Linked DNA regions of Drosophila melanogaster. Changing the gene in region 2 together with the main gene of any one other region gives a genetic interaction. Each region holds a gene or a part of one and is shown on either strand. Other genes may lie near its edges.

What was found.
Region 1: of AdamTS-A (region 2) and vkg, changing one suppresses a phenotype caused by changing the other (phenotypic suppression), as found in Drosophila melanogaster (one study listed by BioGRID).
Region 3: of AdamTS-A (region 2) and trol, changing one suppresses a phenotype caused by changing the other (phenotypic suppression), as found in Drosophila melanogaster (one study listed by BioGRID).

What each region holds. Positions count from the first base shown.
Region 1 is NT_033779.5:5,021,635-5,032,698, forward strand, and holds the start of vkg (viking), read right to left. Parts: upstream 6,558-11,064; 5' UTR 6,485-6,557; intron 5,812-6,484; exon of another isoform or gene 5,664-5,811; intron 5,588-5,663; 5' UTR 5,496-5,587; coding exon 5,403-5,495; intron 1-5,402. Other genes in the region: Col4a1 (collagen type IV alpha 1), read left to right, coding at 8,584-8,603, 9,108-9,156, 9,221-10,168, 10,244-10,740, 10,866-11,064.
Region 2 is NT_033777.3:15,471,220-15,482,224, reverse strand, and holds the start of AdamTS-A (ADAM metallopeptidase with thrombospondin type 1 motif A), read left to right. Parts: upstream 1-6,031; 5' UTR 6,032-6,936; coding exon 6,937-7,338; intron 7,339-9,576; exon of another isoform or gene 9,577-10,087; intron 10,088-11,005. Other genes in the region: B9d1, read right to left, coding at 1-218.
Region 3 is NC_004354.4:2,540,335-2,551,358, reverse strand, and holds the start of trol (terribly reduced optic lobes), read left to right. Parts: upstream 1-5,931; 5' UTR 5,932-5,976; intron 5,977-6,450; exon of another isoform or gene 6,451-6,596; 5' UTR 6,597-6,735; coding exon 6,736-6,894; intron 6,895-11,024.

The DNA.
Region 1 (11,064 bases), on a different chromosome or scaffold from region 2:
ACTGTAAACGATACTACCTTAAACTCTGGCCACCAATTCGACGGATTGCAATTATTCAGGGAATGCAAAGCGCAGCGAAATGACTTGGAAAGGGATGGATACACTTGGAGGAAAGAGAAGGAGTCACTTGGAGGAAAGAGAAGGAGTCACTTGGAGGAAAGAGATGGAGGGCTAAGGAAAGAGAGAGGGAGAGGCGTCTGGTAATCTGGGTCTCAAAGTTGGTGGCCTGCTACGCCCGGATGTGGCATACAAAAAAAAAAAAAAACAAAAAACAAGCATAATTATTATAATTATCAGAATGTCACATATAAATCACAGCTGATAAGACTCTGGACACAGCTTCAAGCCGGGAGGGAGAGCGGAATTAATTAATACATTTAAATTTAGCATTAAATTGTATTTCATGCACATGTGTATTGTTTCTCGAGTTTCGTGTTTCAGGCTGCGGACAAAGGGGTTATCTGTTGCAAACGGCAAGACATCAATGTGTGTTCTTTGTTGCCAAGGAGGATACCTAAGACTTTACTTTGCTGGATATAGAATGCTTAGCAATTGCTATCTTATAGATACACTTCTCAAGCTCGAGATCAAGATTCAGCTGCATCCAAAGACGAGGATCCTTTTGTGCGTCACAGTTGACCCAATTTTCTCTGTCAGACAACACGCGCCATCAATCAACCGCATTTTCATTTTCACATTTATATGCCCCATGAAATGGAGTGGGAACTTTTTGCACCATCAACAATAGCAACAACAAATCTGTTGTTAAATGTGCATCATAAACGTTTGGAACACTGCACACATGCAACAATGAAAGGCATTCAAATGAAGGTATTAGACGCGCAAGTACTAAGTAAAATGTAAAATATAAGTTATTCTTTTATTGGGTAAACATACATAAGTACATGCTATAGTCACAAAACTGACTTCAAATAGTTGGCTGACATCCTACAAATGCATTTTATTGACCACTCAACCTAGTTGCACATTACAAAAGTGCCAGATTCATGCCAGATTCAGTTGGCATAAAAACGCCCGATTTTGGGGCACAGCTACAGGGTAGCAGTAAAAAAAAAAAAAAACGAATATGGGCCAACATATGAGCAGCGTGTGATTGACATGAAAAGGCAACCCCCGCACTTACTCACACCAACATTCATGTGGAGCATAGCATAGTAATGGATGCACATCTGGACGGGCGCACTTGCTGCATGACATCATTTTGCTCCGGCTTGACATTAAGTCAACATGTGGAGAAGATGCAAAAGAATCTGCACTGCCACTGGCACATGGAGAACACCCACGCACTCCGTAACCGTGCGTCTGGAGCAAAACCCAGTTGGATCTGCTTGAGTGACCGGTTACGGCATCGTGGCGCATAATTGTTTGGACACAAGCCTGACAGATGATAACTAATTGCCGTGCACTCAAATTAACATTGAAATTGATGGACAGCGGGCTGTCACAACTTAATATTCGCAACGATCGTCAATAAGGTGGCGATAAGGAAGCGCCAAGTGATTGAATCGCCTATCAAAGTATGTACATACATTCGTCAGATTGGGAAACTATATTGTTACCTTTTGAAAATGCACTTAAAATCATAAGTCACATCATGCCAGCAACCATTATCGTTCGAATTTTGCATCAAAGGAGCTGCCAGTTAGATTTCACCCAGTTATAAATCGCTTGAAATCATGAAGCCATTGGTTAACCATCTCAATGGCCTGCAAATAATTCAGACAATCAAAGCACTAGAAAGTTAACCAAGCAAATTAAGCAGAATTTATTTTTAGCCATGACAGTAGATGTCTGCCGTCTGAAATGGAATCTCAGCAATGGAATCGCATCATACATTGTACACATATGCATATGTACATGCCATATAGTGTCTAAATATATGTATATATGTATAGAATTTCAAATGCTCAGATGAATATCAATTTCATGAGCCCGTACGGACTGATAAGGCGGCAAAAAAAAAAGGAGAAGAGCGAGCTGCAGTTATGAGACAGATGACTGATAACCCAATTTCACTAGCTTCGCTCATAAATAATCGTTTCAATTCACGAAATTCATTACAAAGGCGGCTACTAAGTGGCCCCTGCCCATATCACTCATACGACATGTTGTCCATATCGCACACACACACACACACACACATACACGTACATATAGAGAGCGAGACTCCGCATAATTTCCGCATTCAGTTGCAGATAAATAAATAATTGAGTCAAATTGAAATGCAACTCGCCAAACAATTCAGCTCAAGCACGCAAATAAACTTCCACAAGGAGTCCAACAATGAGATGATGATCATTGTTGTCCGAGCTCCGAGCTGCTGCCCCCGCTCTTCGTTTTCTTGGGCGGTCTTCAGTTGGATCGAAATCCCCTCCACCAGCTGGACACCCATCACCAGTTGGCCCCGCTCAGTCTGGCCGGCGGTGGTCAGTGATTTATGCCAGCAGCATCGGGTCACTTTGGACCAGGATCGGGAATAAACAAAACCCAAGGAGAACGAAACTGAAGACTGAAAGGGAAGGTGCACGGAAAGAAATGGTTGAGTGGCAATAATCAAACCCGCTAGATCATAATTTTATAATTTGATAGAAATTACTCCTCTTCTTAAATAACCAATTCAATATAATACAATATTTTTACAAGCTTTTTATAAGAAAATTTCGGAATTCATGGTAAATTTCGAAGGTTTTAGATTATGTATTTATTTGATATTGTTTTGTATGTAGTTAAGATTTTTCTAAGTGCACCATCGAAGTTTCTAAGACTTTGGACGGCAGCAGCAGCCGCCGCAGAAGCAACAAAACAACAAACAGCCAAGAACTTTCAATTCCAATTTGAAATGGTGCAGAACGTCAAAAGATTGCCGACCCCCTCACCCCCTGAAGTCGCCATACCCCGGCAACCCTTCTTCATTTCAATTCCAGTGATTCTCCAAGAGAGCCCCTCACCGATCACTTGAGCTGCTGCTAATTGTCGGAATCGAACTGCGCACACACACACAAGCGCACTGGCGAAAGAGCACACTTATTCACAGGCAATAACGGCATTTCCATATATGTATTTATAGCTGGGCAAGTGCAGGAGAAAAGAGAAAGGGTGCATGGGGTAGTGGTGCAGTGGTAAAGTGGGGAGAGCGACTGATAAAGACCATTTATCAAAATTCATTCATTGAAAGCCTCAGCTGCATCTGCAATCGATGAGTTCATCTCTCTCTGTCTCTTCTGCTCTTCGATTGAAGCGGCTCTTAAGCGATCGGCTCTCTTTTCGCGGAACGGAAAAGGAAATCATTTGTTCGGCTAATGAAGCGCCAAACTGGTTGCAAAACCCATTGCGAGAACAGTTTTAGAGCCATTGCCTGAGAGCTGTTAACTGTTTAATAAGTATATTCAAATGATGCTGGAATAAATACCCTTAAAAACATTAAGTATGAATATATCTTACTCATAGCAGATAATTCCCTTTATAAATTTCTTTATAGATTGTAAATAATGGCATACATACAATGTGTGTTTCTAATCAAAACTAATTCCAGCGAAAAATGTGAATCCCCTTCTATTCAGATTAGCTTAATGCACCCAGGATATAATTAATTATATCGTTTTCAAATACTGTTGCAAGTGAAACAACTTTTTTTGTAAGCCTTCGCTTATCGTGAGGGTAACACGAGCAACGGTAGCTAAGCGAAGTCAAGTTTTTCATCGTTTTGCGGTTAGTCCTCCATTGGCAACCCACAAGACCTGGAGACCTGGCAGCTCTCACTCGGAATCCGGGAGTTAGGGTCCCAAGCCCATGGCATTGACCACGTAACCGAGTGCGAAAAGAGCTGTGGATCGGATTACCAAAGTCGTCAGACGAGCTGCACACTTATGATGGCAAACACGTGAGCGATGGGGCCAGATTTCCAGATCCCAACGAATTGAGTGCACGAATTGTGCATTGAGTTAACTGCTCAACTGGTATGAAAACTAAACTCTGATCTCTGGTAAAGGCAATAAAGTCAAGCCAAGCCGATAGCCTCTGCGACTGCTGGCGACACTTGTTTCAATTCTAAAGTGTATTTATTCTAAATTCGAGTCTAGAAAGCCATGTCGCAATCAGCGGAACATGCTATCAATGGCGTCAATGCCGCCAACATAGCAATAGGTCTAATTAAATGTGTGTAGATCAGTCGCAGCCTGATAAGACCAGCCGAATGCCATCAAAAAGTAGGTGCCGCCGGCATGTGCTCCATTTTTCATCCAGCATTACGAAATCTCTGTGATCCCTAGCCATTTAAATATTAATACTCAATTTAATTTGGTACATACACAAGGTACACTGAATTGGGCAACTCGGTGTTAAAAAGTAGTGCATAGTTTTTGGGGCAACATTGAGTATTGCGTTTGCCTCGCACTTTTGTGTCAAATCATTTTTGTGTTTGCTTAAAAAATCATTCATAAATAAATGAAATATTCGCAACCTCAATGGTTAATGTGTCTTATTTTGAATAATAATCTATTCAATTGGGGTAATAACTAAGAACCTGCGCATTCTTTGTTTTTCATACTCATTCCCGTTTCATTTTACAAATGATTATATGCCAATTAAGCGACTAATCTGGCGGTTATTAAATATAATTCTAATTGCCAGCCGGAAACGTTCAATGGCGAACCACAATTGGTATGCCAAAAAAGCAATGTCCTCCAAATTGAAAGATTAGGGGGGTTATCAATGGGCGTTATCGCCAACCTCTTCACCTACAAAATTATGTTGCCAAAATTATTTAATGACATAATCGATCCCAAGCTGGACTTGGACTTCATTGAACCCCCGGAATCGGGAACGAGCTGAAAGGAATTATCTGTCGAAGCCAAAGAGTTGCAACTACGCGATGTTTTCATGCCGGAAGTGTGAATAAATCAGAGAGTGCAGTGCTGCAGAATAACAATAACAATAGCAGCGGTGATTAAGAGTCGAGCTCCGAGCTGACCCAATTTTACATAGTTGTTTATGGTTGATACTATGTAAATGCGAAATCAATGACTACGGATACAGTTTGGAGAGCATTGGTGGACATGATAATTTTCTTTCAAAGTTAATTAAGAATATTATTGTTATAAGCTTCAAGTAACTTAAAAATGCTGCGTTAATGAAATAGGCATATACAGTTTGACAAGCACTTTGGTTAGTATTTAGCAATCTCATAAAATTCAAACGGTTATGGTCTGAGAAGCACTTTAAATAGTAAGAGCCTTATTTTAAATATCATTTCCTAAGTTGTTTTAAGACATAAAAAAAAGTTGAAAAAAGTTATTGCACTACAATCTATACATTTCTCAATCCAAGTCTTTAAAGAGCTGTCAATTTTTGGATATTATACTAAGCATTTCGATTGCACTTACCTTTCCATCCGCCAAGGTAACGGAAACCAGGCTGCCCAACAGATAAACGACGCCCAGAAGACCCGAGAGATGCCTTAGATCTCTGGGTAACATCCTCGCTGGGTCCTTTGGTCCTATCCGCAACGTATTTATGTCGCACTCTATCTAATTGCCTCTGTCTCTCCCCGCTTAAAACACACACGAAACTGCCAACGAAATAAGCATAAAATTAGAAATTGAAGAATTTTCGATTCTTATAAAATGCCCTCAAATAAAACCGACATTAGCAAATCAAGTATTAAAGAGTTGACGATCGGAAAAGTGTGGGAAACTAACAGAAAACGCTGATTTGCTGCTGCTGCGATCGTCGGGCACAGCACTCTCCCCACATGTGGAGATCGTCTAGCGTTCGAAGTATTACTAAACACGAGTCCCGCTAAAGAAATTCGAATTCTTCGCCCGCACACTCGGCACGCTCGGCTCCACTCGTAAAAGTTCGGCCGTTCGCGATCGGCTCTCGGCCCACCAATACTATCGCAAGTGGAAGTTGCAGCAGTGTGAGTGTAGTAGGCACAGGCCAGGGACAGGCCCGGATGGATGTTTTGGATGGAGATTTGGATGGAGGTTTGGATGTAGATGTGACTCCGGGCTCTGGTTATGGTTCGGAATTTAGCACTTTGACGCCTTGAAACGAGGAAATGAGGAGCAGAGCCCTCTAACCAAATCAAAGCGGCCCGATTCTAAGCATACAAATTCTATTTCCCATTTTGGTACCGTATCCCTGAAGGGGTATGATCAATCAGATTCTCACTTTGTTCTTTTTATTAGGCACGTCTCTTGGGAAAATACAAATTATTAAATAATTTATTAATTAATGTTACTATTACTAACTATTACTAACAGGCACATACCATTTATACATAATAACCATCCGCATATAACTTAAATGATAGTTCCAACTAGCGACACACGATATTTCTTGCGGGGTAAAAGCTATTCTAATACTCAATCCCAGCTATCCTAGTGATTTCAATACAATTAGATGCTAGTTTGTTTGTCGCGCTTCTCGTGATTAGGTTAAGGCTTTTTCATTTAGTACTTACATATATGGCATATGTGAGGCTGATAAGACGGATATGGCTGAGTATTTCCTGTTAGAACGAACTACTGATCAACTGAAAACCGAACATGAGTTTTAAGCTCCAATAAGTCCGACGCAGAAAAGCCAAATGGGAACCTTTCGAAATTCGAGCCTGATTTTGGGTTTCGGGGCCACAGTGTTTTGAAATAAGTCTTGATAGGGCGGCTATAATCAAGGCCTCGTTCTAGTTGGGAAAGCTCTTTTGTTCTAGGGTACGTGCAAGTCGGATATGGCCCAGTGGCCTGAATATATGTCTTCTCAGGAAACTGCTGTGATTAGGATATTAAATGATGTCGCACTTCGGCAACTTAAAATCTTATTAATTTATGTTTAGAGCGGTATTAGTAAGTATTATGTCGTACTTACTATCAAAATGAATGGATCTCAATAATTATTATTAATTAAATAACAATAATTATTTTAAGTATGTATAAAACTTGGCACTTAAAATGAAATTTCATTTAAGATACATTTAGTTTTAATAAAGCGTAGATAGATACAAAAAAAATCGAAAAAAGACCATTCTTTGAAACAATAATTGCATCGACATACTAAAATCAATCAAACTAAAATATTTTGTTTTAGAAAAGAATGGAATGATTTGAATAATCAGTTATATATAGCAAATAAAAATATACCAAGTAAAGCTTAAAAAGAGATTTAATCTTCAAAACCTTTGTCAAATTAATTATATCAGTTTTGAAAGCTAGAGAATATTTTTAAAACTTAGAAAAGGACTATAATCCTATTAAAAGTAAAGTATATGCCAATAAAATGTTTACACATGTTTTTGTTATCCTTTAAGTTTTAGATATTTTTATCATACTTATTGTAAGTACACACAAAATTTTGATGAGGTTATAATTAGAACATTGGCCTGATAGCGAAGCCTTCGGAATTTCCCTTGCCCGAGCACCGAAAAAAGTCCAAAAAGCAGGAGCCGCAGGGGCGGACCAAAACGGAAGCCATGTGCCCGATCTCAGGGCGGGGGCTATCAGCTAATTTTGAGATGGGAGCTGGTAGCTGCGATCTGGAAGCTGGGATCTGGGAGCCGGAGAGCTGGTTGAAGGTGCTCCCGGGGAGGTGCTCCGGCGGAACGAAGCTGATGTGCTATTGAGCAACTTAAGTCGCATGTGGCATATCAACAGCAGCGACGGACTTATCGCCAAGTTTCATTCATTCCGCAGCGACTATGTTAACTTGTGGGATTAGTGTTGCTACATACGACGACCCGTCGCCCATCCGTTCTATATGCCATGGTGCCACCACCCACCTCCCACCAGCCACCTCGCAGCCATCGCAACCGATCCGATGCCCATCCAATCCCCGTCGAATCACACGGATAGTGTACATGAGCCGTAGACCCGATCGTCGAGATCGTGCCAAGCCGAACGATCGACGAGTGAAGATCGGGGCATCGGCGTTTGGCTTTTGGATCGCTCGAACTTATACTATAATTAGTCGTGTTCCGTCTCCCCGAGTAAGTAGTAGTCTGGTCTCGGTCCGGAGCTGATCTGGCCAGCTGGTTTTAGTCTTTAGTCAGCGCTGTGGAGTGGTGATCGGTTCGGATCGGATCGCTCGGTTGTGAATGTGTGTTTCCATTAGGGTCCCGTCCCGTCCCGTCCAACCGTCCCTTAAATAGGATTTGATTCCTGTAAGGAACTGAGCTTTTACAACAACAAAATAATATAAACATAAAATATCTTAATTAAATCAGGAAGAACGCGTACTATTAATTGAAAATATCCAGCAAGTCGTTGTGCGAGTCTCGTACCAGTTCCAGTGCCTCTCAAACTGTCGCGTGTATATGCTTGGAAATGAAATGAAACGAAATACAAGAATTAAATCGTTGAAAAAAAATAAGCCAGCTCGATTTTCCCACAAATATTAAATAAAATAATATTCCTCTAAGAATATTTCCAATTTATTTTGCAACTGTTGCGAAATTAAAGTGCCCAATTCTCTGGCTCATCTTTCCAGGCCCAGCGACGGCAACATATAAACTTCAAATTCGACGAGGACAGAGCAAATAATTGTGCAGGCTTAAGTGCATAGGGCATCATGTTGCCCTTCTGGAAGCGGTAAGAAAAATGACAAAAGTTAGAAAAATAATACAAATGGTTGCAAAAATTTAAGTTAATCAAAGAAAGCAATTGTTAATTATTAAAAACCATGACAATAATACTTACTTAACAACTAATAATACTCTATTTAAAAATTTAAAATTTTTTTGAAATTTTTAATGATTAAAACCCAGTTATGGCCTAAAAAAGTATTGCCAATTTTTTTCTTTCTAATCCATTCAGAAAGAGCAAATATTAGTTTTTAAATTAATATTTTAGATATCAGCAATACAAAAATACATAATTTAAAACATCACATTTGTTCAATTTTTTTTTAATTTTTCGAAGCGCGATCTCTTAAAAACTTGTAAGCTCTCTCTTAAGCGCCTTTAGCAAACTCTCTTGAATTGACGGCTTAAGAGAGAGCTGCCAATCGAAGAGAGCTATGTCCAATTAAATAGCTAGACTGATAAGACGAAGCACAGTTCCTAACCCTCCTGATCTTCGTCGACTTCTTTGCAGGCTGCTATACGCCGCTGTGATCGCGGGAGCGTTAGTCGGTGCCGACGCTGTAAGATAACCGTAGCCCATGCCATCCATCTGGACATTGAATAATATACTCCTTTTCCCCGCAGCAATTTTGGAAGACGGCTGGTACGGCCGGTTCGATTCAGGACTCCGTGAAACACTACAATCGAAATGAACCCAAGTTCCCAATCGACGACAGTTACGACATTGTAGACTCTGCCGGCGTGGCGCGCGGCGATCTGCCGCCCAAGAATTGTACGGCCGGATATGCGGGCTGTGTGCCCAAGTGCATAGCGGAGAAGGGCAACCGTGGTCTGCCGGGCCCTCTTGGACCCACGGGATTGAAGGGCGAAATGGGTTTCCCTGGCATGGAGGGACCATCTGGTGACAAGGGTCAGAAGGGTGATCCCGGCCCATACGGACAGCGTGGTGATAAGGGTGAGCGCGGATCGCCTGGTCTTCATGGTCAGGCTGGTGTACCCGGAGTCCAGGGACCCGCCGGCAATCCCGGAGCCCCTGGTATCAACGGTAAAGACGGTTGCGACGGACAGGATGGTATTCCTGGCTTGGAGGGTCTATCCGGAATGCCCGGACCTCGCGGATATGCCGGCCAGCTTGGCAGCAAGGGCGAGAAGGGTGAACCGGCAAAGGAGAACGGTGATTACGCGAAGGGCGAGAAGGGTGAGCCCGGTTGGAGGGGGACTGCCGGTTTGGCTGGACCACAAGGATTTCCTGGAGAAAAGGGCGAGCGCGGCGACAGTGGACCTTACGGAGCCAAAGGACCCCGGGGTGAGCACGGTCTGAAGGGAGAGAAGGGTGCCTCCTGCTACGGACCCATGAAGCCTGGTGCACCGGGTATCAAGGGCGAGAAGGGTGAGCCCGCGTCCTCGTTTCCCGTCAAACCGACCCACACGGTGATGGGACCTCGCGGCGATATGGGACAGAAGGGAGAGCCTGGCCTAGTTGGCCGCAAGGGTGAGCCCGGACCTGAAGGCGACACTGGACTCGATGGACAGAAGGGCGAGAAGGGTCTGCCCGGCGGCCCAGGCGATCGCGTAAGTCGAGTTCATACTTAAGGCTCCAAATCGAAGTGGAAGTTGAAACCTCTATAATGAAATATATACGTACAGGGTCGCCAAGGTAACTTTGGACCCCCAGGATCTACAGGACAAAAGGGAGATCGTGGCGAGCCGGGCCTTAATGGTCTGCCCGGTAATCCCGGACAGAAGGGTGAGCCAGGACGTGCTGGAGCGACAGGTAAGCCTGGTCTGCTCGGTCCTCCGGGACCGCCAGGCGGTGGCCGTGGAACACCAGGACCCCCGGGACCCAAAGGACCCCGCGGCTATGTTGGCGCACCTGGACCCCAGGGATTAAACGGAGTTGATGGACTACCGGGTCCTCAGGGATACAATGGACAAAAGGGAGGTGCTGGTCTGCCCGGTCGCCCCGGCAACGAGGGACCTCCTGGCAAAAAGGGAGAAAAGGGAACCGCAGGACTTAATGGACCAAAGGGATCCATCGGACCCATTGGACACCCAGGACCACCGGGACCAGAGGGACAGAAGGGTGACGCCGGTTTGCCCGGTTATGGCATTCAAGGATCTAAGGGAGATGCTGGCATACCTGGGTAAGTGCAATGATTCATTTAATAGTCCTAGCACTCAGTCGAGTCCCACTGTGGAGCCGAGTCCTGTTCTTACTTTCCTTCATTAAAGATCTTATTTAATTCGAATTAATTTTCGTTCGTCCTAGTTATCCCGGACTAAAGGGTAGCAAGGGAGAGCGCGGCTTCAAGGGCAATGCTGGTGCTCCCGGTGACTCCAAGCTGGGTCGTCCTGGAACTCCCGGTGCCGCTGGTGCTCCTGGACAAAAGGGAGACGCTGGTCGTCCCGGCACTCCTGGCCAAAAGGGAGACATGGGTATCAAGGGTGACGTCGGCGGCAAATGCTCA
Region 2 (11,005 bases):
TCCTTGTCGGGACCCAGGGGAAAGGTGGCCGAGACTATTTGGCCCACGATGCTCAAACTAAAGTAGCTGGCAGTGGCTTTCGCGTCCATTGCATTGGGAACACTTTCTTTGGCACTCCGGGACTTCTTTTTGGCCTTCTTGGCCTTTTGTTTATGTTTTTCATGCGGCGGAGTGGTTTCCTCGTTGCCCGGGAGACTGATGCCTTCGCTGGCGCTCATGGTGGTGGTTGCCGACTCACAACGGGGTGTGTTTCCAGCCAAGTCGAGTGCCAACTATTTTCCACCTGCCAAAACTGACTTGGCCACAAACTAAGTGTTGAAAGTGGTCAAAAAATATGACAGCTTGGACCGAAAAAAAAGGGATATTTTCTATAACAATCGATATATTGGGATTATATAGCAAAAATTGTTCGATTTATTTCATACGATTTTTGTTAAATGCATTATTGTATTAATTTGATGTTTATGACTTGCAAGATCGGAAACGAAATGATTGTAAACAATTTCCTCTATATTTTGATGATTCTTAAGGTTGAGTAATAGGAATTCCCCAGAGACACTCAACAAACGGATGGTTTATGGCCTGTCTGCATTTAATAATAGTTTAGATAAAACTGCGATGATAATTTCTATTTTTCTCTGATTCAATGAGGCAACATGTTCATAAATCACATTAATGATTCCTTTCGTTATGTATTGTAACCAGTTGGTGGATTTCCTTTGTTTCGTTAGTTAAGTATTCGCACACTTTGTCATGTCGACAGCAATGTAATTTAATTCCAACCGACATCGCTGGTTACATGGACATCGAGTGGTTCTGGCTTCCAATTTGCATACTCCGATCCAGATCGAGATCGAAGAAACATATCTGCACACCGCTGGTAAGTGACAATTACAAGATAATAACTCATTCTGCAGACCGGCAGTCTGGGCGGGGCAAAAGGTCAATTTCAATTTCGATTCGACTCACAACTCTTGGTCGGTCGTGTAATTAATGCTGTAATGGCCATTTAGCAATTTATAGCTGCCAACGTGGCATGGTCGTAAATCATTGTAACAATTGCCGGCGCTACCGAAGTCTACAGGAAGTCGCGCCTTCGATCTTCGATCCCCCGGTGCCGCTCCCTATTAGCATGATGCATTATGCAATGGCCAGTGGACAAGTAGCCAAGTAGCCAACTGGCCAACAGCCAGGCAGTCAGTCAGTTAGTCAGTTAGTTAGTCAATTAGTCAGTCAGTCAGTTAATCAGTTAATCATGCTGGGCGTAAATAAAATGCGCCTCAAGTAATGTCAATGGTTCAAGGCGAACTCCCGGCTCACCTGGCATCTTCCACGAGCCACGCAGATGATCTTCGCACCCATCGGATTGGATCGTCGTCAGTGCAGCTGTGGAGCTGAGTGGTGGCACAGCTGGGACAGCCGATTGGTGTTGCAATCAGAGTCGGATCAAGTGCTTACACTGGAAGAAAATTCCACTTACCTGTTCATTACCTATTCATTAATAAAACGATGGCTGTGGTAAATATTATTTGCAACTGTATTTTATTCAAAAACTAACTGACAAATTATTAAAGTATTTTCAGTAGTTAAAAAAAAAAAAAACAAGTATTGTTTATAAAAATAAATTAAGATTAAATGCATTACTTATCGGAAATTACCCATTAATAAGCACTGTGTACCCAAAGTTGGCGATGATGTTTCATTACATTCCAACTATGTATATAGTTTTCCCGCTTAATCTGGCATTTCGAGCAGTGTAATGTGTGTGGCATGTGCAGTTCCATGAAATAAGCTCCTTTTGATTGCCAAAACAAAAGCTTAGGCTTAGTCAGTCAGCCCAAAAGCAAAGGCAAAAGCAAAAGTAAAGCCATCAGAAATTGGACATCAGGCCATATGCCAAATCCAAAGCTAAAAGCCGCTCAATTCGCTGCTGCAATCGGAGATAGTGCTGATGCAGCGCAGAATCGACATAATTTGGGCTCGAGTTTAGCTATATGGCATTATACTCGTAGCATTATGCTGTGCGATTTTGATTTCGACAATTTTTCCACTTCTAATACTGAAGAATATGCCGCCTGCAGGCAAACTGACACACACAGACACACAGCCATTGTGAATTCAATTACGTTTTTGGAATCAATGAACGGAGGCATTATTCAGAAGAAATATTCATTTTGGAGTCTTATATAAAACCGATTCATATCCATTGAATGACCGGCCAGCCTGGTGTAAATGAAAATTTTCAATTGAAGTCTTTTGCAAGTGCATTAGCCACTCGAGGAGTTGCATTACTGAAAGTCGAGCGTCGTGTGTTGAACCGATTTGCGAAATGCGAATTTCTGGATCGGTTCAGGGACGGATTAGGGTCGAAATCATCTACAGATGGCGGATATCTTTCCCCGAACTAACAGACTAGCAGACAGTTCAAAGAGTCCGGATGGATAGCGGGAAATTGAGTTATGCATGCGTATGTACTTGAATTCTAGTCAATTTTTATGATCCTATGCCTTTCAGCGAGCACTCATCTTTTATGGCGATAGAGCGGTGCTAGCCATTGTACTTCTGCTACTTTTAAAATGTTTTTAATTTCAACTCACTTCAAGTCTTTTCCACATGATACCCATAAATATTTTTGCAAGGATATGATTTGCAGTTCTTAAACTCAAGGAACAGTCTGATACACTGACAAAAGTAATGGCTGCTTTAGAAATTCAATTTCAACTGTACTGAACTGATCGAAAATGTATCTGAAGGGCAAAGGGAATTTGGGTGTATATATTCGCATTTTGTTTAGTATATTTAAATTATTACCACATGGTGACTACTTTCTGTTCTTTTAAACAAATCCAAATTGGTCAGGGCTCTGACTCTGGAATCGAAAATAGTGTCTTGTCTTGATTCGGAAAGCATGTTTCCCTCTGTGCATCTATATATATATATATATATATATAAACCCCTATTAGTTTATGTTATTCGCGTTGCGTGGGTGGGTGTGGGCAAGTCTCAGGGTCAACGCACGTCGGCCGGCTCCCAGCGATCCCCATTCCCGTCCCCATCCATATCACCCCCGATTCCCATCTAGATCGGCATCAGCATCGCCATCTGCGTGTGCTGTCATGGTAGTGGCTGCTCTGTGCCGCAGTTGAATGGATGATATATGCCATACAGTTAAGTGAAATGTATCTTTGAGATACGCCACCTAGCTATGGGAGTACGAGTACAACAAATGCCTCTTACGCATGCCTCTCTATTCCTATTCCGATTTGGATGCCGGCGATTCACAATTCGATTCCTGCCGCTGATTGACAGCGGCAGTAATTGAGTTTGATTTTTGCGAATTTCCAGAATTTAGACATCATCGATGTGGGCATGGAATTGGGGGCTCTTTAAGAAAGGTTTTTGTTTAGTTAGCCCAAATATTTGATTCGATTTGATTGAGCAGCTGTCAGAGGAACTTCAAAACCTGAGCTCTCAATAATTCCGCAGGCCTGCCGATTGGATTGGATCTCGGGTCCGAACGGATCGCTGGAATGGCTGTTTCGGGTTTTCGCAAGCTTTCGATCATTCAATCAGGATCAATATTTATCAATCAAGTGTGTGGGTGAGCGCAAAAAAAAAGCGACTGAATGGAACTATCAGAGCAGAGCATAAACATATAGAAATGCCGAACCAGCTCACGCATTAGACATGCTCACCCATTATTATACATACATACGGACAGACATACGGACAGACGCAATTGACTAAGAGGCCTGCGCGTGTTGGACGCACGGACGGATAAACAGACAGTCAGTCTGACATCGAACATCTGAAGACTTCGAATTCGATAGTGATCCGTAGTCTAGGGCTCTTCACAGCCTCTCGCTTATTGATCTTCGATCCACACGAAGGCCGCCAGCGTGCAGATCGAAGTTGCACAAATGCCAGGACAAGGGGTCTGGATTGGGTATCCACCTGAAAGTGATTCTCTATCCAAATCCAAGTTGGGGCCAGTCCATCTATGCTGTTGCCATATAAGCATCAACAGCTAAACAAAAGTTTATGGCTATCTGCCCGCCTTATGATCTAAATGCGTTAATTATTAGGATGATACAATGCGATCGGAGCAGATAGCATAGATACAAAAATGGATAGACAGATAGATACATTGTGGTCAGCGGTCTCCAGTGGCTCGATCATTAGCATCTGAAAACCAGCGGCGCCTCTTTGAGCAATATTTCCTAATTTAGAACGTATGCTTTCCTACAGATCAGTATGCGATTTGCTAGACTGAGCAATTTATTAGTGACTTGGGGAGAGACTCCAGCTAGGAGTCGTTTATTTTGTTTAGTGGCTGTGTAAACATTGCTTACAGGGCATGATGATTAGTTCGGTGTAATACAAACAGCCTTCTTGGGGAACTCACTTGCCCCCTCCAGACTTTTAGGGCTATTTTGTAAGATGTTCTGTTATGGCTGCTGTTTTATGTTGGCATCATTTGGATGCCGGCTGTTTGTTGTTGATTACAAAACAAGCGTTTTGTTGCCGATTGCATGGTTGCATGGAGAACGCTCTTCCTGGAATCTTTTGAGATGTTTTTCATTAGTCCACCATTCTCGCAACATCCGTAGTATATGAATATGCATCATCGTATTTTGGAATATTTTTAAATTTTCGCCGACCTCCACGGCGGCGAAATGGATTTTTAATTTCCAACTATACTTTAATTTGGCAAACGAGCTCTGGTCTTTTAATTGATTAATTCTTATTGCTGCGTTTGATTAAAGAAAATATTTAGTATACAATAGGGTCAATTGCTACATATGGTAATTTGGCACAGAAGACATTTATGTGGAAGAGTTCTCGGCGTTCAAATAATGGAGCGAATGGCTACTATTTTTATTCACTGACGCGATCAGTAGATTGATCTTGACCCACATTGGATGGGCTGGGATCCGGCAGATGTCGCACACTCTATGCCCAAATGAGACAATATAAAGTATAAAGTATAAAGTATTGTTTATAATGATACCAATTTGAGACAAATCAGTTACACTTGCCTATCTAAACTATTACGATATGTTTGTTCAGCTTGTGTAGATTATTTAGATATATCTTTATATTTGTCGCATTTCTGAGTAAAGGCTGTCGTGTCAGTTTATTTACGTCAAAAAAAGAATTTTTTTTGATACTGATGAGCTAGTCATCATTGTACCATTCTCTGTGATCATCAACTTCCTTTTTTTCTTCCGAAATGACTTCTTCCGGAAGTGCACCACTGGTAATGCCCAGGGTCTTATCCTCTATTTCAAAAGAATTCGTATTCAAAGTTTTTAGTACTGCTCGGTGCGATTAGTAATGCATAGGCTAGTAAAATAAGTCATAAGTAAAAAGAGTTTTATTATTTACTCAAGTACATACTTACTCAAATTGGTTGGTATCACACAAGTGTGAACATGTTTACAAATTTTGATTACTTTTAAAAACTATTACTGAATAAAGCATGCAGCATAAGCCTATTTTTTTTTTTTTTAATATTTATATTATTTCATCCGAAAAGGCAGATACTCTAGATGCAAAGATTGTTACTATGCTAACACACCTTATCTTATCCGATGATAATTATGTCCACACACTTAATCCTCACATGTGCAAAAATATTGAGTAAGCAGAGGCGCACTTAAGAGAGCGTTCGAGTGCTCTTTTAAGCCGCGCTCGGCTCTCTTTTCGCCACAGCGCTCTCTGCGCAGAGAAGCCGGCTGTTCTGCGTACTGATATGATTCTGACGTATTTCTAATCTCTCTAAAACACTCCTTCGGAATCGAAATCCTAAGCCCATTCAGCAAACCCATATCCCTATACTCGTGCCTACATACGAGTATGTACATACATATGTACATATGTATGTATGTATGTTGTACAGCATATAGCTGCGAGAGAACCGCTTTTAGCTTTCGGAGCGATATATGTTCGCGATCTCAGATTGCTTGGCGGTACGGCGGAACGTCCGCTACCAACTGCTGTTCGGCGAGCAGTGTTCAGTCCGCAGCGGGAACTCAAGCGAGCCGAAACGAAACATCGCCAGATACAGATACAAATTCTCTGGTTCGCAGCATTGGTCTGGTCCATCGGCTCGTTCTCGTCCGTTTCATTTATTTGCGCGCGCGCGGTAGTATCAGACAATTGCTAAAGTTCCATTTGTAATATTAATCCAGTTGCGATTTCTAATTCGAATTTGAATACGTATTCATCCCAGTGCGCCAGTGTATTCCGTATCCTGACCAGCCATGTCGGCCAGATGGCGATAGCGATGCCGATGCCAAACGATCGGCGTGTTCTTGTGAACTCTGACATGGTGCTCAGTTGTGGGACAACCTTCGCCACCGAAAAGTTTGCAAAAATAGCCGCTGGCCGAAAGCGAAAAGAAAGCCAGCAACTCAGAATGCCAACGGTGGCCAAGTTAATGGTGCAGCTCGAAAGTGAATGCATTCGGCGCGATGTGTGAAGTTCAAGCTTAACATTGGCCAAAACCCAACCGCAACTGCGAATAAATTCTGTGATTCGGCAAAAAGATTCATCATGAGATCGTACAATGGCTCCAGTACTAAGTAGTTTATCTAGCTAATCGCAGCCATAAGTGTGAGTCGTTTTAATACCCACGAGCCGTAGTCTTTGCCTTTCTGTTCGTTCGTATTTTCGCATTTTTTGGCGGGTGCGGTGCCCACGGCAACGGAACGAGACTGTCGCATTTCAATTAACAAAATAAGCAAAAAGCCAAAGAGCCAAAGAGCCATAGAGCCAACATAAGTGTAAAGATACATATATCTACAAGATATACGTATAGCCGTATATACGCATACTGTGGATTTTGTTGCTCTTTCGCGCGCATTTTTGCACGTGCCATTTGGGATTTCGGATTTCTGAGATTGGAGATCGCTATCTTATCTGGTCATCGCCATGTCCATGCCGGATGCCGGTTCACTTAAATCGCCCGCCGGCGGCCAGGAGGTCGAGTGCCATCGCCTGCTGTCGGACCTGCCCGCCTTCGCGTATCCCAGCACCACACTGCGGTCCACAACTTCTGGTCACAGCACTGGCACGAATAGTACCACTGTCTGCGAATCTCCCGGTGCTCGGGATCGTACCTCCTTCGCGTGCTCCTCCTCTTGCGTATCATCCGCCTGCTCAGCCACCGCCTCCGATGACGACGAGGATGAGCGTGCCCTTGAGCGCTGTCTGCGTGGGACGACGGACGACCTTGGGGAGTCCGGCCTGCGGTATTCGCTGAAAGGACCACCGCCGGAGCTCTACTCGGCCAAGAAGGACTTCATCAGCAAGGGTCCGCTGCTGGGCAGACAGGTAGGTCCTAAATCCGAGCTCTACATAAGTATAAATATTTTTGGAGGCCTAGTCCGCCGCATCGAATTTCGTGGGCTGATCGAATTCGCAGACCGGGATTTTAACGATTTTTCATTTATTTGTGTTTGTATTCGTCTCTGTCTCTCTCTCTCTTTTTTTTCTACTTTATCGAAATCGGCTGGCCAAGCGAAAACCAAATTTAAGTTAATTTATTGCATTGATTCCACATCAATGTGTCGAGTTCTTTCCTTTCTTTTATAATTTCGGTTGATTTGCCGATATTTTGGTGTGCTCGTCTCGTTTTGTATGCCGCATTGTTTTATTTCGTTTCATTTCATTTCATTTCATTTTTTTTTTTGTTTTGTTGCTTTTGCCGCCACTCTGGCTCTCTATTCGATTTTGATTAAATACCACTGGCGACACAAAGAAAGCGACAACCAAAGCGTTGACCACCGCATTTGAATTCACACGCCTCACTGGCCACGAAGCACCGCGCACGCGGCAGCGGAAATGTGAATCTGGATCCCAAGTTGGATCCACGATAGGATTCTCGGCAACCTCACCGTTCGACAGCTTCAAACAGACTGAAGATGGCAACGTGTTCGAAGCACTTCGATCCAAATGCGCCAGAGCGCCTCCACGAAGTGCATTCATATATCAAGCAATCTGGTCATCAAACTATTCCTTTTGGTTTGGGTTTGCAGCTCCCACTTCTTTAGCTGACTCATAATCCATCCATTTGCGTCACACAGGGTCTGCTGATGTATGTCGGACGTGTGTTTCCGCCAGGTTGCCACTATCTTGCTCTAGCTCTGCAGCAACAATTTTCGGGAAAGCGAAAGATTCTGCAGCATCGGGAGCACATGTCCCACAGGAGATAAGAACATAAAAGATATCTAATAGAGATAAAGAACAAAGACGCCCCTGTCTGGATGTCACTGATATTCCATATTCCAGACAGGATTGGGTACGAACTTTTTTTTGCCCATTAGTGCGAGGCAGACGACGAATTAAGATGCAAATTTCGATAAACATTTTCAAGTTCGGTTTAAGGAAATGGTATTGCAGTTACACACGACCTGGGTGGAAACAGCACATAACTACGATTTACAGAGCTCAACAAGGTGTGAAAAGCGTTTGTTTCGGGACGTGACAACAACGTGAATGGAAACATGCCTAAATCACGGCTTACTGGCTAACTGGCAAGCTGGCTAACTGGCTAACTGGCTAGCTGGCTTACAGGCCATTAGAATTTTATCAACGTCCGCCTGGCGGGCAATGTAAAATGTGAAAAACGACACGATCCCCCGGTCCATGAATACATAATAATGCATAATAATGTTGGGTGCGCGAGTGGTGAAGTCTGTAGGCCCAACTGCCACTGATAACGGGCCATGTGTGGCAACGTAACCCCCTCGGGATCGAATGGGAATAGGATGTACTGTCTATTTGGGTTGTATGTATAAACTCGTATGCACATCGCTTGGCATTTTAGAAGCACATGAGTAATTGTGACATATTCAGTGCGGTGCGACTCGATTCACTCGCTGTTGTGAATGTTTCGAAAATAGATTTTCTAGTTTTTCGCGTGGCGCCTAGAATCTGAGAAGTCGGGAAATACATGCATGTAAGTAAGGCTGCGCCGTCCAATTTGTATTTCGACAATAAAATTTTCACAATGTGTAGAATTTGAATATTTATTTTCTTGCTTTTTGTTTCTGTTTCGCGTTTTGTCTTTTTTTTTTATTTATTTATTTAGTTTTTTTTTTTGAGTCGTACGTCGTCGCTTTGCGCGTGTTTCTCTGTTCTCTTTTTTCAATTTATTTCGTCTACTTTAAATAAAAACAAAAAAATATGCTAGTTTCGGAAAACCGAAACTTATACACCCTTGCAGTAATTATTTGCAGAGTTTGAACAAATTAAAATCGAATGTCAAATCACAAATTTGGTGTGTACCGAATTAGAACGCATTATGATTAAAAAACAACTAAGCTGGGATTAGTTTTTCATTGATTTGCTAGACATTTTATATGATATGATAAGGTTGTCCGTTTCTGATCAAAAGCGAAAGGCTGTAGATTGTCTTCTTTACTGCGTTGCAAATTCCTGACTGAAAGCAATATACCCTTAGCAAGGGTATAACGATGAAAATTTGAAGAGTTCAGTGACACCAGAAAAATATAAGAAAAGTAGAGAAAAGATGACTGAAATGCTCAATTTGTCAGTTGCTTAAAAAGTACCACTCAATATGTGGGTGCTGTCGAATATGCGACGAGTATATGACCATCCATCCACCCAAAACTAGATGGATAACCCCCGAAGACCCCGAAGAAAATCGAATTGTGACCAACGACGATTAATGATCGTAAAATATTCAGCTCGTCTACCCGTGATTAATGCCACACATAACCATCATTCTGTATACCGATTCTCATGCAAATGAGTAGGGCGTGTCCTTGCAGCCCTTTGCATGGTGGATGGGGTGACAAATAATTTGTCGGAATATTAATGCCGTCAGAGAACAAAATAGAAATAAACCACAGGCAGTAAAAAGGCCAGAAAACGAGCAAATAATTTTAGGTGTGATGCCGGGGCGTGACTTTGGGGTGCTGTGCTTATGCTTTAAGCTGGTTATTTTGAATTTAATACAATTTTTTTCGCCAAAAGATATATACGTGATCTGAATGCAAACACTTCTGCGAAGGCCCGCATCCCCCACCCCTCCCCTCGGGAAACCACCCACGTTCCCCATAAAAGCAATTTTGCTCATTTTCTAGCAAACGAAAACTGTCAAAATGATGAAAAAAATACTTATAAAACTCTAGGGAATTATTTCGAGCAAGAGAGCCGACACTGACATACTCTATTCTGATTTCTAAGCATTTGAACACTTTTCAAAAATGTTGTAGATCCCTTAAACATAAAAGTTAACGACTACAAGCCACCTTGCCTATAAATTAATCATTGACTTATAAGTAGTAATCATATTTGTATTGTTTACCACGCTAATTAATTACATCTGAGCCATAGGAAGTGTGTAGGAAAATATGATCAAAGCATTCCGGGCCTGACAAGTGATTGCTCATCTTAATTAATTCCTTTTTAATTTATCAGTCAAGATTAATGTTAAACATGTTCAATCTGGCTAGGAGTTGCTTTTGGACACCGAATTCGGCGTTGGCCCAGCCGCGGTTTCTATGTTAATAATTTAAATATGGATTTTAGCGGCCTTTTTCGGCGTGGTATTAGCATAATTGGGGGCCAGTGTCCATTCCCGCCAGCCGAGCTAATCCACTCAAGGCGAAAACACCTCTAATAATTACCTGTCCAATTTTTCTTCACATTCTGGTGAATCTGTTGAATCTGGTGATTTTTCTATCGATTTTGTATCTTGTGTGTGCGAGTGTCTCTGCTGCGCGCAGGTCGTGAATGAATTTTTCAACAAATTATTTGGATATTTTGGGAAATACAAATTTGTTTAACTGACTGATGGTGGTGGGCTTACATCAAAAGGCCAGAACCGCCCATAGAGCACAAGCTGGTTTCATCTCGGCTTGATTGTCTTCGGGGTCCATTCGAATGCTTTATTTGGTGTTTAGTTTCTGGTCCCCATCCCCAGTCCGCATCCCCAGTTGAACGGGTCGGCCCAAAAGTTGGTCGACTTATC
Region 3 (11,024 bases), on a different chromosome or scaffold from region 2:
CGGTCTTAGTAACTATTTAAGAATTTCATAAATCCGTGTTCTATTCTCTATCCGATTTGATGGAAACGAAATGAGGCAACTTCATTTGACATTTAGTGCGATTTTGCGTAATTTTTGCAATCTTGATGATGGATTCGCGCCGCCAAGACGCAGAAAATGCAAGTACTGTTGGTTGGTGTGATGGGGGAGAGGAGTGTGTGTGGGGGGGGGGGGGTCGCACAAAAAACAAAAGGCAAAAGCGCAGCGCATGATGACATCCGCCCACTTGCGTCGCCCTGCCCCTCGCCAGTCGACTGGAAAACTAAAGTAACGTTGTTGTTATTTTGAATGGAGCAAATCGCTTGCGTGCATTATAATAATCAGAATCTCTTGTCTTTCTCTGGCCTGTCAACGCAGTTATCATCTTCATCGCACACTGGCAAAAATTAATTGTTACATTATTATATACTATATATATATATATATATGTATATACTTTCCAGATGTCGCAGGATTGCTAAAAAAAAGTGCAGCATTTCCCATTTCGACTAAATGTATGCTGATTTTAATTCTTAAGTGCCACTCGTCGTCACCTGTACGAGTGGAATTTTGCAGGTGGATTTTCCGGGCAGGAGTGCCGCAGGTGGTGGCGGGTAGAATAGAATGCCCCTATTTCGGTTCCCTGCCCTCTTGTTCTTGCACGTTTTGTTTGCCTTGAATGCTTTCCTTTTTGTCCATTTGAAAGGGAGAATAAAAGGAACGAAAAATAACGAAAATACGAAGAAAAACTTGTGCAAATGAAGCGTTAAATTGACTGAGTGCTGAAGGCGAGGCGAGGTAAAGGAAAACTCGTCCTGCAACTAAAATGGCAAAAAGAAAAGGAAAGGAAACTTGCTGCACTGCACGGGGCTTGCCATTGACGTCTTTAATTGATCGAAACATGGCAACTGAATACAATCACTTGATAGTCTCGGCGAATATCGCGAATATTTACCAAAATTCATTTCATAAATAAACATACATAAGTATTTATTTTGATATCTGTTCTTACATCTGTCAGTTTAATTTGAATTTCCGAAAATTCGATCATATTCAACGCTTTCCATTTCGCAGTTTGAGGGTTTTTTTTTTTGCAATTTTTATGCTCAGTTCTTTGTGTTACCCATTATTTGGGGTTTTTAATGGGGGCACTTGAGTTTGCAGGCATTTCGGTTTAAAATTAGGGTAATTTGCTTATTTTGCGACTTTATTTAAAACATTTTTTCAAATCCATAGTTTGTTATTGTTCCAAACAACTTTGACACTTGCAACTAAAGGGTATGTGCAAAGCGCTTCGATTTTGCGTGAAAGTCTTTCCCTTTCAGACTTGCAGGCCATACTTATATGTATATACAATATATTTTTTATGACTGTCAGTTGTGCCGCGTTTGGCAACAGAATTTGTTTAAACGCAGCGCCGGCAGGGTGAAAAATCAATTTTTTATTGCCCTGTTGCTTCAGTTGGCTGCTGTGTTGCTTTTGTTTAGATTTTAGCCAGATTTATTAGCTTAGCAGGCAGCAAGAGAAGCGCTTCTTTTCTCAGCGTTTTATTACTGCTGTTGGCCCCAGCAAAGTTGACAAGTCCCGCCGATTGCACTGAGAAAAATCGGTAGTTAATATCTGCAAATATAACTAGATGATCAAAAGTTGTTGATTAAGTATAAATGAAAAGCAGCAATATTTATTTGATTTGCACATTTGATTCAGTTGCTCCGAATCTTTTCAGTGGTTGGAACAATAAAAGCAGGCGGTGGTGCTGTGAACTGGGGGCGTGGCCCAGGTGCCCGGTGCAAGAATCTATTTGCCTTTTGATTGCCTTTTAATTACTGAGCAGCAAATAAACATAAACAATGGCGTTTGGCGAAAAATAGAAGATCTGTATTTAGCCGGAGCAAAAAGCATATGCACATATAAAACGAAACGAAAACAGACTCAAAAAACAAAAATATTAATGATTAAGCTCGGTAATTGGAAATAAAAAAAAGAGGCAGAAAAAAAGAGCAACGGCCTTCTTTGGTTTGGCTTTGTTTTTCTCCTTTTCTAACAGTTTTAATCTTTTATCTTTACTTGCGTTTAAAACTCGCCTCGAAGTTGGGAAACTAATTGAACTAAACTAATTGGTGCAATGCGTTTGTAAAACCAAAGTAGCAATGTTTCCACCACCAAAAACAAAGCCGTGCAGATAAATTAATTAATTAAGTAGTGCCGCCTTTGATGGCAAATCCGACGTCTTCTATGGTTTTTTATTAGATCAGACTGCGACGAGCGGATCAGGGATCGGGATTATGTCCATCTCAAGAGACAGGTGGCAAGTAGAACGGTGGGTGGAATGACCATGAACTTCCTCATGGAAGATTTTGTCCCAAATCATTTCCAGACGACGTTTAATTGTCGAATTGACCCAACCCCTCATGGAACCTGACTACTTGTGTTATCTGCAAATCCTCCTCTCCTAGGCTTTCAACTTTCGCCGCCGACCTTTTGGCAGTCTTGTTGCGACTTTCTGCCCGCCCCCAAAAAATTCGCACAGAAGGAGATCAATTTAATTAATGCGAAATGCGAATTGAAACCGAAATTAAATTTCAATGCCACAATGTACTCTCAGATGCGTATTGATGAGCGGCTGGCTCAATTAAGCTAAAAGCTTCGACCAAAAAGGGCTTGCCAAAAACTGAGTGAAAGCCGGCCAAACAATTAGCAACTGCCTTGGTAACTCAACAGACGAGCCCGGTGAGACCTTTTCCGCAGCAGGACACACACACACACACACACCATCCACACGCAGACTGCCCGGCAATTGCACAACAATCGGTTTGAAATTATGGACATGGGATGCTGCCTCCCAGATGCTAACCAGCTCCTTTCCCACACCACTAACACCGAAGGTTGGTTCCATCCATCTTATGCAAACTGCAGTTTTCAACTTGTTACCTGCCACTTGTTGGGCTTTACGGGGGAACAGAACTGTTCGTTGGGTTTTCGCGTAACCGACTTTCCTTGAAATTCGATTTAAACGTACATTGTACATATATCTATGTGTACGGCAGTCGATTTTGCGAGTTGGGAAGCTTGTTGATTGGCAAAGATAGCTTCGCACTGTCCTAGAACTTGGGCTGGAATGTCAGCTGCAGGTGCGCAAGAAACACAAAAAAAAAAAAAATAAATAAATAAGTAAAATAAAATAAACTATACACACTTATGGTTTCATAGTTTTTACACATACGTAATTCTGCTAGCAATCATTTACGAGTCACTAGATGTTAGATTTTCCTGAATGGCAGCGTTCTTCTTTTGAACAATGGAAACCTTGGAATATCGCTCATACGCCATGTTGAACACAACTTGACCTGTTACACTGGGCGTATGAGTTATATTTTTTGCAAACTTTACCCCAATAAGCTGTTTCGCTGTGTATTTCCTGTTCAATTGTAGAAAATAATTAAACAGGCGTAAAGGCTATTTTTACCGGATGCAAAAATAGAAAGCAGCTCTGTGGCTTGAAATCATTCATGGCAACAATTAGTTTTCAATTACAAAATATCGTCCTCGTCTAATTCACTAGCACATTTTACCCAGGCCTTTACGTATGCAAAAGTAAACAAGTTGCCATTGCGAAACACGTGACTGGGCCAGAAAATGGGAAAGGCGAGTATTTAGTGTGAAAGTCGAAAGTCGGTAACGGAAACCAAAAATGTGCTCGGAAAATGTAAAAGTGAGTGCAAAAAACGAGGGCGGAATGTAAATGGGACAGGGATATCTTCATTGTTGTCAAAAGGATATATGGACAAATGGAAAATAACCCTTAAATCTATTATTAAGCACTTCAAAAAAATGTCATTTTCTGGATTGTCCGTGTGGCCACATTTGACAACCAATTTGACAAGTAGATGAGATCCTGTAAGTCACCTATTTCATAAACTCTTAATGTGTGATTAAATTGAAACAGCTTGTTCTTTAATAATTGAATTTTATTCAGTTAAAAACTTATACTTTTGGTGGCAAACGCTTTAGGAAAGCTTTTTTGTTGACTTGGCTAAAAGCTTTTGTGCAATGGCTCTCAAACTGTAGCTAGCTTTCGATTGCAAATGTGGCTAACAGAATCGTGTACTCACCACTCGACGACTGTGGTGAGTTCGGTAAATTAAAAATATTTTTTTTTTTTTTTTGTTTTTTGGTTTTTCTCACCGTTGATAACCTTTATAGGTTACGGACTTAGGTTGATAATTCTAATTGTTTCAGCACTTGCTCCAATTTTGATGTGATAACATTTGACTCCCTAAATTGAATGAAATGCTCGAGAGTGCACACATGTCTAAATATTAAATGATTTGAGCAGTTGAAAAAACAAGTGCTACGAAAGTCGAACAGATGTCATTGCTTTTCAATTGAAGAAAATATGTTCAAGAATCGCACTGCGACCAATAAAACATTGAAATGAATTTGTGCACAATTTTACTAAAATTTATAATGTTATCTTATCACTAATTTATAAACTTAACACCTAGGCAAAGCTCAATATTAAGCACGTATTTGTGTATTTGGTGTCTATCTAGCTAATTTCTCCAAGTGTATACAGACCATTGCCATTATTTTCAATAGCGTATTCAACAATTTTCTGCGTGTATTTTTAGTACCTTTTCTTATCTGCGAACGGAAGCTGTGGCCACTTGTGAGCGTTCACCATTTAAATATTAAATATATTTTACATTAGCAAAGGCGAAAAAGGGGAGGAACAGGGAAACGAACCTGAGGAATGGGCCAATTATTCCAGGAGATGGGGCCCTAAAAAATCGCAACGTGTCCATTGGTCCTCCATGTGGGGCGTCGGCATCCAAGTCCGGTAATTCACCCTCACGCATGCGTCATTTTCGGATGTCATTGGGTCAGGCGCCAATGGGAAGCCGCCTTTTTGGTGGTGTTGACAGGGGGGGGGGGGGTGGTGGCTAAATCGGCTGAAGGTCACGGATTGTGGCCGGTCCTATGGCCAGTTGACAAACCGACTTAACCGCCAAAGCCGACGAGCCCGAAATGCTAATATCACATGGATGTCCGTCCTGCCAAACTTGTATTGTGTTGAATATTTAAAATAGTGCTTTGCATCAATTTTAGACCGATGACTGCACATTTAAGATGATTTGCTCACATGGTTGTATGTATGTTTTAGGTGCGCCAAGAATTAATTGTCCATAAACACTAATATTCGTAGGAACAGCGAGTAAAGGCTATAAAGTTCGTGTTTCAAATACGTTTTCACTGGTGTTTGGCTTTCCTACGCGAATTGCATCAGCATTTTATTGGACTCTCCTTTTTTTTTGAGTGTCAAATTCAAAGAACTTCAATAAAAAAATGTGCGAGGAGAGCGCCGCTTTTCGTGGGAGTGAGTGGGATAATTTGCAAACCGGCTGCCGCAGCAACAACGAAAGGTGAAAAGAGAGCAAGGAGCAACGGTTTTCACTTGTTTATCAGTTGACCCAGAGAGCGAGAGCCACTTGGGCGGGTGTTGAGTAAAAAAAAATGGGGGAGGGGGGGCTTACTATCCAACTAAAGTGATAGTTACTTTTTTTTTTCTATCGTTACGGCCTTAAATGCTGCTTTAGCCGACTGGCTAAATCGCGACTACGCTCCGCAAATAAGGATGGACAGGCAGAGCGAGAGGAGAGAGAGCAGGCGCAGCTAACTCTGCGTAAGCGGACACCCACGCATGTGAGCGAGAGAGGGATAGAGGGAGAGGGTAAGGGAGAGAGAGAGTGCGGTGCATCGACGCAACAGGCTTGCAATGGCCATTAAGCGCCGTTAAACAATAACAAGAGCACGCAAATCGCTTCGGCTCCGTCGCGCTTTCGGCCTTCGTGCGTCTTCGGGCGACGCCGGCAGAGCAGAGGCAGCGATGGGAATCGCAGCAACGGTTCTTAGACATTAGGTTGCGCGCCATCGTTCCAGGCGGTCGCACATTCCACGGTGTGCTGTCCCTTTGTTTTCTGTGTGACTCTGACTCTCTTGTGGGGAGCGTTTGTCTTTTTTTTTTTTTGAGTGCTCTCACATCCTCGAAGTGCCGAAATTTTGAAAATCCCCGACAAGATATCCTGGTGATATCGGTTCAACGTTTAAACAAAAACCCAAGCCCTGCTCCTTTTTTTTCATTCATTAACTAGTGTGATCCCAAAAAGGAACCCATACTCGCAACGAATACGAATAGTGTCCATCGCGTGTGAAACGAAACTAAAGAATAAGGAATGAAACAAGAAAATAAAGCGAAAAGGCGGAAAAGCGAACAGAAAGAGGGGAAACAAATATCGGCTCGTCCAGGAGCGAACAGATGATCAAAGGGGATCATTCGGATTTTTCGAAGAAACTTCTGAAACATGACGGTTTCTCTGGTTTTTAATTCGGATTTGGTTTCACCAAAGCCAAAAAATTTTGCTGATGTCAAATCACCGATTTGCTTCCCCTTTTTCCGTGCGCGGAGAAAAAAATCCCCAGAAACATAATATCAGGATGCTCTCTATCTCTGTCTCTGTCTAACGCTTAATTGTTGCTCAATTGCGAATTAATGTCTGGGGCTTTTTTTCTCCGTGCAGTGCCATAGCCGTAACCACAACCTGCCAGCCGTTTAAAGCCAAACTAAACAAAACGAACCGAAACTGCCTTCACAAAGTACCTAAGCCAAACCTAAATAGCTGCCAAAAGAAACCAAAACCGCCGTTACCCGGAAAAGAGATGATGGGATCGCCGGGATCCCAAGCGTCCGCGATCGCGACCTCGGTCGGAATCAGAAGCGGGCGGAGAGGTCAAGCGGGAGGATCGTTGCTCCTGCGCCTCCTTGCCGTGACCTTCGTCCTCGCCGCCTGCCACGCACCGCTGCTGACCAATGCCAAGGTGAGTTCGACCCTCTTGTTGGGATATGTAGTATTATAATTATTACATTGCTATTTGAGGCCCAGGAATGCAGTTAACAATTTGATTAGTTCTATTCGGTGACATGATCCTAACAGCCGCTTACCATTCACATGACCATTGCCCATCAGCTGATGCACATCCCATTCGAGATCGGTAACCCAATGATCTCTTATTCCGGATGACACAACTCTGGGTTCCGCGACGAACTTGAACTATTTAGCATGACACACATACGAGTATTGTTTTTTTTTCCCAATAGGCGGGACAGACAGACACAAAACGAGCGCCACCAGTGATTAGCATAAAAATGTATTTATTGTAAGTGGTTTGGAAAATAGTTTTCCTCCACTCGCCATCAAATTAGGAAGTTGAGCCGGGCTTCGAGGCTTCAGGGTTTCGGAGCTCGGTTACGGACAATGTTAAGGACCGGATTTCGAGTTGAGCAGAGGCCAAAAAAATAGATCACCAAGTCCATTGGGCCGGGGTCATCATCGCAGGTTATCACTCTCTCGAAAAAACAGACGCTGAATTAATTTCTTTTCACAAATTCGGATCGAGTTCAGATGCTGGCTTTTGAATTTGATGCGATTGTGTTCGGATGGCTTTGCCAATTATTATGAGAAGTCGATTGTTTCAGTTCCAAATTCTATCTTTGTGCCTGAAGGAGGGAGGGGTCGCTGTGTGTGTGTGTGCGAGTGTGTGTGTGTATGTTTTCCACCATAATGAGCTTTGATGATAGCGCGTTATCAGCGTGTTAATGACATGTTGCCCACAGACATTTGCTTGCAATGAAATAATTTCTTTAATTAACATTTAAAATCACTGAACGTTTGTGAATGTTTCAATGGCTTTTGTGAACGGACGGCAGTACCTGCTGGACAATTCTGGTACTCTGCTTGATTTTGTCGAGCATGTCGTTTCCATTCGATTTGTTTTGCTGCAGCGCTCACACTTTTTATCACATCGGAAGTTGCGTAAATGAGGCCAAATTCGAACACATGTACACATACATACATACGGGGGCTATGTCGCCTGCTCAGGGCTTATCGGTGGGACTGGGACTGGGAGTGGGACGGGAATGGGAGCCACACTTTGAAGAAGGAACCACTGCAAATCGGACTGCAAACGAGGTCACTGCTGCAGCACGATAGCTCCATCCTCCGCTTTTGCCCATCCGGCGTATGCGTATTGCCGGTCATCGGACATTGCGCATACGATCAGGTGGCACGGTGCCCCTTGGGGCATTCGATATCGTTTATCTTGGGTTTTATTCGTTTTTAAATTGATAGCTGAACTTGACTGAAAAGCACATATGCTAGCTATCAATAATCAGTTTAAACACCATACGTTATGTCACCATTCCTTTCTTTTTGGCAAACTGTGCAACTCGCCACTGATTCCATAGTGTTTCTTGAAAGTCTGAAGCGCAAAGTACAACTCACTGCATATGGCAACTTCTGATGCTTCAAACTGATATTCGCCTGGCAAGCGAATTGTGCTGCTCTGTTTACATCGACAGATGGGTCCTCATTCGATGGCCCTTTTCCGGCTTTCCAAGGGTATCCGATCCCTCACCCCCCACCCTTCTTGGCCCTTGGCTTGTATATCGCTCATCACATCACGCCCCGTTGTGTGCCCCGATATCTGTCAAACAAACTGTCAAAATATTTGCATCATCAACAACACAACTGCAAAGCGAATAAGAAAAAAAAAAAAAAAAAAATTAAAGCACAAAACGGCAGCCAACAGATGAGAAAATATCATTTCGCAGCTTTTTTGACTCGCCCGTATCGTTTTGGTTTCTTTTTCAGCTTTTCGGATTATGTTTTCTTTGTTTTTCATTGGTCTGAAGATGCGTTCGTTGGCACATTCCCTTCGGTTTTCAGTTCTCCTTGTTTTTCGGTTTTCTGGTTTTCTTGTTTCCGTGGCTTCACGGTTTCTGTTTGTTTGTGCAACATATGGACACAAGATGTTGTACCCCCGATCACACATGTGACCGGCTGCTTGGCTGCCTGGCTGTTTGTGTATCTGCCTCATTCTGCTGGCCTTATTGAATCGCTGGGAAATGGCCTTTAAGTTGAAAAGGCGTGGATCAGTTGATTTCAATATAAGCTAATACCTTCAATCAAGTTTCACTTGCCGAATAAAATGTTTTTTTTTTTTTTTTTTTGCAAGTAAAATATGTAACATTTGTATATAGCCCAACCTCTTTTCCTGTGTACCGAAAACATTCGCACAGCGATCACATGCAGTTTCACGGGAAGCGTCATGCGAGCATTTGTTTAAATATTACGCTGGGGCTGTCTAATACACCAACCCACCAACCCTACACCCCCCCTCACCCACTTGAGCTCAAGTTCAGACATTGACCAAGGGGCGGGGACTCGATAAGGAGGCGGGGCCGCGGGGGCAGAGACAACTGGCACACTTAAAACTGTTTATGCGAGATGTGCGAGGTGCGAGGTGCGAGTGAAGTGTCTGGCTCGCTTTTCCCTTCCTATTTGTGGAACTGTATATGAAACGCTGATTGGCGATATCGCCGAGTGTTGGCTTTGTCAAATTGGCATTGCCAGATGCCAGGCTTCCATTGCCATTAGTCACTGGGGCAGCCGCATTTGACCTGGTCGGGAGGGATCCTTAGATGCCCAGACCGGGCGATTCATTTCTGCGGATCCGGAATCTATTTTCCCTGGCTGACGTATGCATTTCTGTAAGGAAAGAACTGGTGGAATCTGGGAGTCAATGGGGAGAGGCAAGGCTATGAGGCAAGCATTTAAAAATAGATGGCGACAAGATACCAGAGACGAAAGTTTTCGATTCGAGGCGGAGCATTAAAGTTGGGAACTCGGAGTGGCTAAATCGGCCAATACCCTATAATGCAACGCGACAAAATGATGCATCGCAACACGTAGATAAGCCGAATTTTCTTGTCTTGTGAAATGCAATTAGAACGTGTTTTTTATTGCACATGTGGAATTGATTACTAATTGAAAATCAACACCTATTCTGTTGTGATACACCTGATACACCAACTGATGTTCTTTAGAGTTCATTCCACCCTCGAATATTTCGCCACAAAAATGCGAACAGGGATCCGCTGAGGTATTTGCCTCATAGACTAAACATTGAAAAATAACTCCAAAGTGTAGGGTAAACCAATTTCTCAGCCTGACTTTTCATTTCTCACTTCGCAGTCCCCAACCAACTATTGTAATTTAATATTTGCATGGCGCGTCTGTGGGGCACAAGTATACTACATATATATATATATATATATATGTATATATACATAATATATGTGAGCTGCCCGCATATGAGCAATTATTGTTTGACTATTGCATTGCGTAAATTTTGAAAATAGAAAAAAGCAGCGAGAAAATACAAAAAATCATCCCAGCACCCATTAACAGCATTTCTAGGATGGGGAAATTCCTAAACTGTCGCAATTTGCCTTCTGAGTTATTGCAAAATGCAGGAGGCCGTGTGGGTGGACATACATATATAGCTATCTAGATATATATATATATATATATATCGTGTCATCATCCCAATCCCACTGAACACAAGACATACGAAAAGTAAAGACACATTGTTCGCACACATGATGCCATAAAATGTGTTTGAAAACTGCATTTAAATTTTCCATTTAAGCAAAAAAAAAAAAAAAAAGAAGCGATTATAGAGCTTAGAATATTGTCGCCAAGAATCGAAGCTGATGATCCCATCGCGAAACTTAGTATGCAAGGCAATCGGCGTATTTTTTTTTTTTTTTTTTTTTTGGGTAGGTCTCATTCGAAATTCAAGGCATCGCAGGGCTCATCGATAAAGGCGATTTAAGCCATAGAGATTCTAAGATTGTTCGGCTTTGATTTAGATAACACGTCAAGCGAAATGATTGTACAAATAGATAGAAATAGGGGAAAGGATGCAAATGATTTTGAAATACAGTACAAGAAAAGATATTTGAAATAAACTGATCACGTTCTTTTATATCTTTAGCAAAATGTTAAATGTATTTAGACTCTATTTAAAACTCTAATGATCGGATCTTCGAGTTCCATTAATCGTATGTCATTTGAAAGTCTCTGATTGATAGTCAAAATCAGATA